Arabidopsis thaliana: one gene and its partner. The protein of the gene in region 1 purifies or fractionates together with the protein of each later gene. This does not show direct contact. Each region holds a gene or a part of one and is shown on either strand. Other genes may lie near its edges.

Region 1 (4,480 bases):
CTGTCATTGGGAAGACTTACGTGCTGTCTTTTGCGGTTGGAGACGCCAACAATGCTTGCAAAGGATCAATGGTGGTTGAGGCTTTTGCAGGAAAAGATACACTTAAGGTCCCTTACGAGTCGAAAGGCACAGGAGGGTTTAAACGAGCTTCTATTCGATTTGTGGCGGTTTCGACCCGATCAAGAATTATGTTCTACAGCACTTTCTATGCCATGAGGAGCGATGATTTCTCGTCATTGTGTGGGCCTGTGATCGATGATGTCAAGCTTATAAGCGTTCGTAAACCATAGATGAATCACCAATCCTATTACAAGAAAATGCATCGTGTGGTCTTCTTTTATTTTCCTTAAACTGTCTTTGGTGTGTGTTGGATTTTATTGAAACGAGAAGGTGAAAAAAACAGAGTTTTATTTACGAGAGTTAGGGTTTTATATAGGCAGATGGGCCTTTGCTTATATTGTATTTTCTTGTATGAGAAGGCAAAAGAAACGTTGCCTATATCTTATGTATCTAGGCCTTTTAATTTTTATGGAAGAGTTACAAAACTTACAATAAAGTTGTATGCATATTTTACTTCTCACGAGCATATAAGACTGAATCACAATCGAGCATTTCCAATGAAGTAACAGAAGCATAAGAAATTTAGCATTTAAGTTTTGTTAAAGCAACATAAGGGTCACATATAAACATTACAATAGTAAGTTTGGTAAACACGAATGTTAAAGAAAAGAGACTAGAGAGGACTCATCTCATGTTTTATTGATGAAGTGCACTCTAACAGCAGTAACCAGTTCTCCAGAGCGTTCAAGTTCACAAACCATAGAGTCTCCGGTTTTCAGATTGTACTTTCGACATAGGTCCACCCAGCCATTGAAACAAGGGGCACTGCCACCGCCATAGATCTTAGTGGAGCCATTTATTTTATCTCCGGGAAGAAGGTAATGCATGGGGGACAAATGGGGACCAAACTTCAAGCCATACTTCTTAATCACTGTTTTGGGCACATACTAGTTGCACATTGTACATGAGAAATAGAGAGAAAGATAAGTCTTAGATTTAGAGGCAACAAACGTAAACTAGAATCAAAACTGATGAAAACACTGCTCTTATTACCAAAACGTCATTCCCTTTTGTCAGCGTTTTCACAAAGTAAGGGTTTTTGGGGTTTAGAAGGTACAGCTCAGGGTTTTTGATATCAGCACAACCATGTGTCTCTCGCCAATTGTCTGAAAATTCTGCCAAAACAGAAACAAAAAGAAGCAAACTTTGGCATTGAGAGAAAAGAAAAGAGTAGTATTGAGTATGAAGAGCATCAAAACGATTCTTTCATTCTGAATATAGCCATACCAGAAGCAGAAGCAGAGGCAGAGGCAGTGGTTGTCTCCTTGTGAGAATTTTTTGGTGTAGTAGGATGAAATGGTTCAGTTTCAGGTTCAACTTCAGGAGGTGCATCGATGATCTCGTTCCCATCATTCTTAAAGATTTGCACTTCAAGAAACATCTTGTCATCGTGTCTGAAGAACACGTTATCATTTGGGCCTAAATGGTTGTCATCCACAAACTCATCCCAATCTTCTTCTATCATAAACAGATCTTTTTCTTCTCGCTCCAGCCAGAGTTGCCAAGAATTGCCCCAACGAACACTGAACACAACTCTGTGCTCAAAAGCCCCGGGCGTGCTTTTCACAAACTCTTCCGGAAAACTCCTCTTCATAAAGACAGAAATCATAACAGTTGACAACAACAAACGATACTGACATTAGAAGAAGGAAACATGAGACTAAAAGCTAAAATACAATCAGCAGAACACGAGCTTGTCAAGCAGAACAAGAAGCAGGAATCATTGTGCCATTAAAATCTCCTCAAATGTTTCTTGAAAGATCAAAAGCTTTTTCGAACAAGAACAACAAACGAACAATAGATCTTTAGAGCAAACAAAGAAGTTCAATGGAAATAACAGTGAGTACAAAATCAAAGGAGCTACATTTTCGAAAGATTAGAAAAGAAGAGAGACTAATTTTGTTTTACCATGGATTTAGATTTCCAGTTTTGTCCTGGAGACAGAGACTTCCAAAAGCAAGGCTTGCTCACATTTCCTTGTATCTTATCAGTAGCATTCCTAGGCAACATCTTGTTCTCTTCAAAAGCTGGATGGATTCGGCAAAATTAGGGTTCATAAACAAAGACGAAGATGACTTGCATGTAATGAAATCAGTGAAACAGTAAAACTGGATAAAAATTAAACCTTTAATGCGTTATCTCGCTTTTCTTACTTTCAGTAGCTAAACCCGAAAGTGTTACAAAGCAGAGAACACGAAAATGGTGACTAATGAGAGACACAGAGAAAAACGAAGAAAGAAGCAAAATTTGTACGGTCAAAGGGGAAAAAAACTTAGGTCAGAAGTCAGAACAAAGTAAATGCGTAAAAGGCAAGTAATTGCGTCAAAAGTAACGTCGCCGGAGCATGAAATTCACGCACCGTCGCAGTCGAAGAAGCTTCCTCTCGCTGCTGTGTCTGCTCTTCTCAGCCCTTGTTCTCCAAATCGAATCTCTCTGCTTTCAGAAAGAGAGGAGACTCAACAGTCAACAGCACTGTGACAAGTGTCAAATGTGTACTGTGTATGGAAATAATAAAATGGTCAAACAATATTATTGGGCCGGATATGGCCCATATTAGAAACTGGCCCATCATACTCTAGAATCGATTCGATTGCAAGTGAATTGACAAGTTTGTTAAACTAACACATAATTGACACATTTAGCATTGTTACAGAAAGTTGTAAATAACATATTGTTGTTACTAGAGAGGATTGGTCTAGTCTTTCTTGACGAAATGCACTCTTACAGCGGTAACCACACCACCGGAGCGTTCAAGTTCACAAACCACGGAGTCTCCGATATTCAGATTGTGCCTCCGACATAGAACCGACCAGCCACTGAAACAAGGTTTCCCGTTATAGATTCTATTCTCGCCTTCCTCTTTTTTCTCCCCGGGAAGAAGATAGGTAATGGTGGACTTAACGGGACCAAACTTCAAGCGATAGCTCTGAACCACCGGTCGGCTCACATACTTGCACATACAGCAGGAAACAAAGACAAGCTTTAGCTTTCTAGGCCACAAATGGAATAAAAAGCTGACAATGTAAACACTTGTATTATTACCAGAACGTCGTTCCTTTTTGTCACCGCTTGCACAAAGTAAGGGTTTTCAGGATTCAAGAGGTATCGCTCAGGGTTTTTGACATCACTAGAACGTTGTTTTCCTCGGCCATTTGTCCCTCCATTTGCTGAGAATTCCACCAAAACAGAATCCAATCAAACATTGGCATAGAGAACAAATGATAGTTTGGAGTTTGATGATTCTATCGATCTGAATAGCCTTACCAGAGCAGCCAGAGCCAGAGGCAAAGGAAGAGGCAGGGGTTGTCTCCTTGTGAGGTTTCTTGGGCGTAGGATGAAATGGTTCAGTTTCGGGTTCAACTCCAAGAGGTACATCAATGATCTCAACCCCATTATTCTTAAAGATTTGCACTTCAAGATTCATCGTCTCATCGTGTTTGATGAACAGATTATCATTTGGACCTAAATGATTGTCGTCTACAAACTCATTCCAATCTTCTTCTATCATAAACAGCTCGTTCTTCTCTCGCTCCAGCCAGAGTTGCCAGGAGTTTTCCCAACGAACACTAAACACCACTCTGTGCTCAAAAGCACCACGCGTTCTTCTCACAAAGTCTTCCGGAATTATCCTCTTAATAAACCCAGAAATCAACAAAACAATACTTACATTCAAAAGAGGAAACATGAGACTAAAAGTTATAACTTTCTACAGAAAAAACACAAGCAGCAAAAACACGAGCTTAAAAGATTGGATTGTAGGTCAAGAAATGCAGAGAAAAGGACTAGAACCAACACTAGCATAAACATGAGCTAAGGGCAAACGAAACCTGCGACGTAAAAGTACCCATAACGGTAGCTAAAACAGGTCAATAAGTAACAAAATGAAGACCAAGCAGCAAGAAGCAGAGGAGGCATTGTGCCATTAGAATGTCTCCAAAGTTTCTTAAAAGAAGAAAAGATCTGAACTTTTTCAAACAACAACAAACGGGTAGTTCTGTAATAACTTGTCTATAAAAGGGCTAAACTAAACATGAAAGGATTATCACATCTTACTGTTCTAGCAACAACATCCAAAGCTATAAACTTGTAACAAAGCAAATTCAATAGAAAGAGTCTAAGAACAGTGAGTAAATATCAAAGGAGGAGTGAGTCATAATTGAAGTTACCATGGATTTAGATTTCCAAGTTTGTCCTGGAGAGAGAGACTTCCAGAAGCAAGGCTTGCTCACATTTGCTTGGATCTTCTCAATAGCATTCTTAGGCAACATTTTTCTTTTCAAAGCTGGATCAGTTCTGCAAAATTAGGGTTTGTATGATGACCTACTTGCATTTGTTCATAAAATTAGAGCCAAAAAATTGG
Region 2 (5,756 bases), 6.1 Mb from region 1:
AGGTACCATTTATTTTTTATTTTTTCCGGGGAAATTAGAAGTTTTATTACTATTCCTAAAATGTTTCATTGCAGATTTGCATCTATGTCTGATTTTGGTTGGTGGCTATATTTCTAAGCTTTGTTACAGAAGACTTAGATTAATTAGGCTAAAACCTTTTGACTTATTTTTGTTTTCAGTGCGGTTTGATAAATTTGATGGCATGTCATCTTTGTTTTAGCTCCAAAATAAACATTTAGGACCATCGTTGTACCCTTGTTTTTTGTTTTAAAAAAATCAAAACATGAATTTGGTAGTTCGACATTTGAATCTATACAGTATACAACTACTCGGAGAAGAAAGTCAGTTCTCATTTTCAAATCCAGGTAATTACACCCACACCTGTGGGCTGTAAGACAGAATTTACAATGTTGAACAGCCTAGCTATGATTCAGAAGCAAACCAAGGACTACAAGTCAGGTTTAGTTTTCAGCCAAAAAGCCAATCGGAACTCTTTCTTTTTGGGTAACAAATTCGGTTCGGTAAGATGAACCGATTAGATAATTTTTTGGAAGAGATGAACCGATCAGTTAACCAAAGAAATTTCTATTTTTTCTGAATTTTTTATTTTCGGATTTTTGGGCTCCGAAACAAACCGGATCTTGACAAATTAGTAAATTACCAAATGAAATTCTTAAGAAGGTAACTTTTACCAAAATGCCAAACTTCAAAAAAGCAATAAAGTTCAACACAAACAATACCATTAGGCAAAGAAAGAGAAAATCTAGCGGGAACGATAATTTCTCTTTGCAGGTTTCTTGTCAAAACCTGGAGCGACTCTAATACCAGGAACGTTTTTGAGACCCATCTTGCCAAGAATATTTACAGGGATAGCCGGAGGGATGCTAAGTCCCATACTGCGGCTAAACTCATTAGCTAACTCCACCAGTCTGGTCGTGTCTCTAGCAATCTTCTTCTGCGATTTGTAGTAACCCAACCATGCCTGATATGCCGCCTCCTTGTTCGTCATTTCCACTTGGATAAGCCCTTTCTGCACCTGATTTTAACATGTTTTCAACACCCATCAATGCTCACTCGAGTTACATACTCTTAAGAAAAATTTGGCTTCTAACGTAAAAGAGGTTAGTTTCGTGAGATGTGAAAATCTTATTCCTTTGCATACATATTCCAATACAGTTTATATAACATTCTGGTTGTTCTGGTTTGCTACTTGCTAGCGAATAGAATTTACGAAAGGCTTGCTAAGTTCAATAGAGTCACAAATTCAGGCTAAGTTTACAGTAGTAGTATTTGAAAAATCTTACCTTTTTCACAGCCTCATGGTCTATTGGCGGTAAAGAAGACTTTGTGATGGGCAAGTCCTTAACAGAAGATAGAAAGTACTCTTCCCACGGTGCCAACAATAGTACACCTTCTCCTTCCTTACCTTTCCGCCCAGTTCTGCCAAGTCTATGTATATATTGTTCCCTGTCTGATGGCAATCCCATCTGCAAAAGCAACATACACACAACAACAACTTCGGTAAAAAAAAACAATCAACTTTGTAGATACTGTTCAATTCCATGATTGAAAACTACTACATGATTTACCTGTACGACTAAGGACACATCAGGGTAATCAACACCACGAGCAGATACATCAGATGTCACAAGGATAATACTCTTGGACTTGCGGAACTCATCAGAAACTCTGGTTCTGTAACTCTGCGGTTTTCTAGAATGGATCTCTCTGACGTTAAGGCTTAGCTTACCAAGCAGATCAGCCACCAATCTTGTAACCATAGCAGTTGTACAGAAAATAATAACCTGCAACAGCAAGGAGATCATGTTAATCCAGAATTACAGTGGTGATTAACAAAGGCATTGGAGGAACAATATACCTTATAGCCCACATTATCTGTGATGTGTTTTTTCAGAAGACCATATAGAAGCGAGAAATGTCTATCTAATGATGCAATCATGTACATTTGTGAAACCTGGGAGATAAAACAGACATGAGAAACCATTAGCATCCAATCATATGGCAGGCCATTGGTTCAAATGAACTTAAAAAGCAATCTTTTACCTTTTGATGCGTCTCCCCAGCACCCTCTTGAACACAGTTGACGAATTCATGATCCCGTTTCAGAGCAACATGGCATATTTGGCGGACCTTGATAGCAAAAAAACACAGTTCAAGATTCCAACCCAAAAGTGAAAGCCTTTGTGCAAGAAACTGACACTTACCTCATCAGATACTGTGGCGGAAAATAAAAATGTTTGTCTCTGCTTAGGAACAGCAGCAATTATCCTCTCAATTTCCCTTCGGAAACCCATGTCCAAGAGATGATCAGCTTCATCAAGCACAAGGACTTTCACACCCATCAACCTTGTTGCAAATCCAGAAGTGTTGTCGATATGGTCTTTGAGCCTTCCGGGTGTAGCCACGAGAATCTGAGAGTGTGAAAATATGTTATTATTCAAAAATATACAGAGACAAAGATCACCATCTCTGCAGCCACTTTGACTGCAGGGAAGACAAATAATGCAAAAAAATCTAAATGCATAATGAGGCTTAGATCAAAGAACATATCCTGTGACTGAAAAACAATCCTAACTTGGACAGGGAAATCCATTTCTTTTTAAAAAACAATCTATCTTAATTCATATTCTTAGAAATTCAAATCATGAGTCCATATTGTTCTAGCGAAGGATAACCAACTCAGTTTGAAAAGAAATATATGCAACTCTATTGGTCAGATAACAAGTTTCATCTGAGAAGTCCAGCTCAATGGAAATGCATGATTTGCTCAGAAATAAGTTTACATATTAATACAAATGAAAATTTACCTGGCAAGGACTCTTTTGCAAGCGCCTTTGCTCCGTAGGAAGCTTAGTGCCTCCAATCACAACTTGAACACCAATAGATGGGTGATACTTGAGCAAGATGTTTGCTTCTGCAGCAGCTTGACAAGCAAGTTCCCGAGTAGGACATACCACAAGCACAATAATTGGGGGATGCCTATTATCACGGCTTGCAGGAGGAGCTTTGATAACAGCTTCAATTGATGGAAGCTTGGAAAAAGAAACATCAACATTAATAACAAACCCCAATTAATCAAACTGATTGTAATCCTAAATGACCAACATGAACCCAAAAAGGGTATCTCACCAAAAATGCAACTGTTTTCCCAGTGCCTGTTTTGGCCTTCGCAAGGATATCTTTACCTGGAAAACCAAGGAAGAATAATTAATAGAGGAATAGTCAAGCTTCAAAATGTTTAAGTCATGACAAAACATAAGGAATCATGAAGAAAGATGCAAAAGTTTCTGCCTTTTAGGCAAGTTCACCTTGGAGAATGAGAGGAAGAGTAGCCTCCTGAACAACAGTCATTGTCTTAAATCCAGCATCCTCAATTCCTTTTAACGTTAAGGGAGACAGTGGGAACTGATCAAATCTGTAAGAACCATTTTACCATAAAGAGAAATCTGAATCAAACACCACTAAGAATAGCTCTGAAGCTATCTCCGAAAGAAACGCAAAAAATGTACCTTGTCTTTGACAAATAAGAATCTGAAGTTTTAGCAATTTGAGTCACTAGAGGCGTAGTAGAAGCTGGTTTCTTAATAAGAGGCTCATCAACATCAGATTTGCCTTCTCTTCCCCTCTTTAGACTCTTATTGTTGTCCTTGACTAGCTTTCCCGAGCCATCTTCGTCACTCGTCAACTTCTTCACAAGTTTAGCACGAATCTCTCGTCTCTTCTTACCGGATTTGGGTCCATCGGAATTCATGCCAACGAGTGGAGAAAAGACGGAAGAGAACGGTGAAGCGTATGCCTTTAACTGTAAGGCTCTGCAACTACCAAATTCCCGCCGTCGGTTATTTTAGGGTTTAAAAGGTTTTGTAGGAAACACAATTTAGGGCTTAAGGGTACAGATGCGAGTGGCCCAAAATGTCAACAAATATACAAAACGGCATGTAGTTGCTCCCTTTGCTTTGAAACGTGTTGTTTTATATCAGAAAAAAGTTTTGTTAAATCTTCAAACACGTATAATCCAACTTAATACTTTTTTTGTTTTTTTAGTGAAAATCGAAATACTCATGTTAACAAGCCATTACAAACAAAAGACCTTTATAAGAAGGCAACTTTTATAGGATTTTTTAGTTAGGAAGTCTTAAGAGTGTAGCAAGAATGACAAGAGACTACACGTCTACACTTACAAAACATTAAAGTTTTAAAACCAAAGCAGATCACTAGGAAAAAAGAAAATCTACTTGGTTCTAAGACCAGGAACGTTTTTGAGACCCATCTTGCCAAGAACATTTTTGGGGATAGCTGGTGGGCTGTCAAGTCCCATGCTGCGGCTAAACTCATTGGCCAGCTCCACCAGTCTGGTCGTGTCTCTTGCAATCATCTTCTGAGATTTGTAGTAACCCAACCACGCCTGATACGCCGCCTCCTTGTTCTTCATTTCCACTTGGCTCAGCCCTTTCTGCACCTGAATTCAACAAGTTTATTATACCCAGCAATACTCACTCATACTCACACCCTTCAAAAATCATAGCTTTTAACTTCAAAGAGTTGTGTTATGAGATTCAGGTTCAGTTTCAAGTTCCCTACTCATTCTGGATTGCCAGCAAATATGAGTTAAGAAAGGCTTGCCAAGTTCAGTAGAATCACAAATTCATGTGAGTGCGCTTATATGAAAATGCTTACCCTTTTCACAGCCTCTGGGTCTATTGGCGGTAGTGGAGACTTGGTGATGGGCAAGTCTTTAACAGATGACATAAAGTACTCTTCCCATGGTGCCAACAATAAGACTCCTTCCCCTTCCTTCCCTTTCCGCCCGGTTCTGCCAAGTCTATGTATATACTGCTCCCTGTCTGATGGCAATCCCATCTGCAAAAGCAAACAACTTCAGTTAAACAAAAGAGATAAAATTTGTAGTCGCAGAACAATTCCATGTCAGAAAACTATGGTTACCTGTACGACCAATGACACATCAGGGTAATCCACACCACGAGCAGATACATCAGATGTGACTAGGATAATAGCCTTGGACTTGCGGAACTCATCAGAAACTCTGGTTCTGTAACTCTGCGGTTTTCTAGAATGGATCTCTCTGACGTTCAGGCTTAGCTGACTAAGCAGATCAGCCACCAATCTTGTCACCATAGCAGTTGTACAGAAAATGATAACCTACAACAGCAACGAAATCGGGATAGTTCAGAAATACAGACATTGGTTATTCATAATGGCACTAGAGAGATAATGTTACCTTATAGTCCACATTATCTGCGATGTGTTCTTTAAGAAGCACATGTAGAAGCGAAAAATGTCTATCCAGTGATGCAATCATGTACATTTGTGTGACCTGGAGATAAAACAAACATAAGAAACTGATAACATCCAATCATATGGCAGGCCATTCACTCAAATTAAGCTAAAGAGAAATCTTTTACCTTTTGATGTGTCTCCCCAGAGCCCTCTTGGACACAATTGATGAACTCATGATCCCGTTTCAGAGCAACATGGCATATTTGGCGGACCTTGACACCAAAAAACACAGTTCAAGATTCCAACCCAAAAAATGAGAGCCTTTGTACTAGAAAGTGACAGTAACCTCTTCAGGTACGGTGGCAGAAAATAAAAATGTTTGTCTCTGCTTAGGAACAGCGGCAATTATCCTCTCAATGTCCCTTCGGAAACCCATGTCCAAGAGATGATCAGCTTCGTCAAGCACAAGGACTTTCACACCCATCAATCTTGTTGCG

The links. The genes of interacting proteins can lie anywhere in the genome.
Region 2: the proteins of AT5G25470 (region 1) and STRS2 fractionate together in Arabidopsis thaliana (co-fractionation; one large-scale study listed by BioGRID). This does not show direct contact.

Annotation. Positions count from the first base shown.
Region 1 is NC_003076.8:8,865,105-8,869,584, forward strand, and holds AT5G25470 (AP2/B3-like transcriptional factor family protein), read right to left. Parts: upstream 2,621-4,480; 5' UTR 2,480-2,620; exon of another isoform or gene 2,246-2,479; intron 2,148-2,245; 5' UTR 2,131-2,147; coding exon 2,029-2,130; intron 1,709-2,028; coding exon 1,348-1,708; intron 1,236-1,347; coding exon 1,114-1,235; intron 1,008-1,113; coding exon 750-1,007; 3' UTR 547-749; downstream 1-546. Other genes in the region: DGR2 (transmembrane protein, putative (Protein of unknown function, DUF642)), read left to right, coding at 1-290; AT5G25475 (AP2/B3-like transcriptional factor family protein), read right to left, coding at 2,816-3,070, 3,163-3,287, 3,385-3,826, 3,926-3,976, 4,287-4,388.
Region 2 is NC_003076.8:2,792,556-2,798,311, reverse strand, and holds STRS2 (DEA(D/H)-box RNA helicase family protein), read right to left. Parts: upstream 3,925-5,756; 5' UTR 3,773-3,924; coding exon 3,531-3,772; intron 3,437-3,530; coding exon 3,330-3,436; intron 3,207-3,329; coding exon 3,151-3,206; intron 3,054-3,150; coding exon 2,829-3,053; intron 2,433-2,828; coding exon 2,226-2,432; intron 2,152-2,225; coding exon 2,065-2,151; intron 1,976-2,064; coding exon 1,880-1,975; intron 1,806-1,879; coding exon 1,590-1,805; intron 1,488-1,589; coding exon 1,305-1,487; intron 1,037-1,304; coding exon 764-1,036; 3' UTR 552-763; downstream 1-551. Other genes in the region: PDE340 (P-loop containing nucleoside triphosphate hydrolases superfamily protein), read right to left, coding at 4,253-4,480, 4,699-4,881, 4,966-5,181, 5,261-5,356, 5,445-5,531, 5,606-5,756.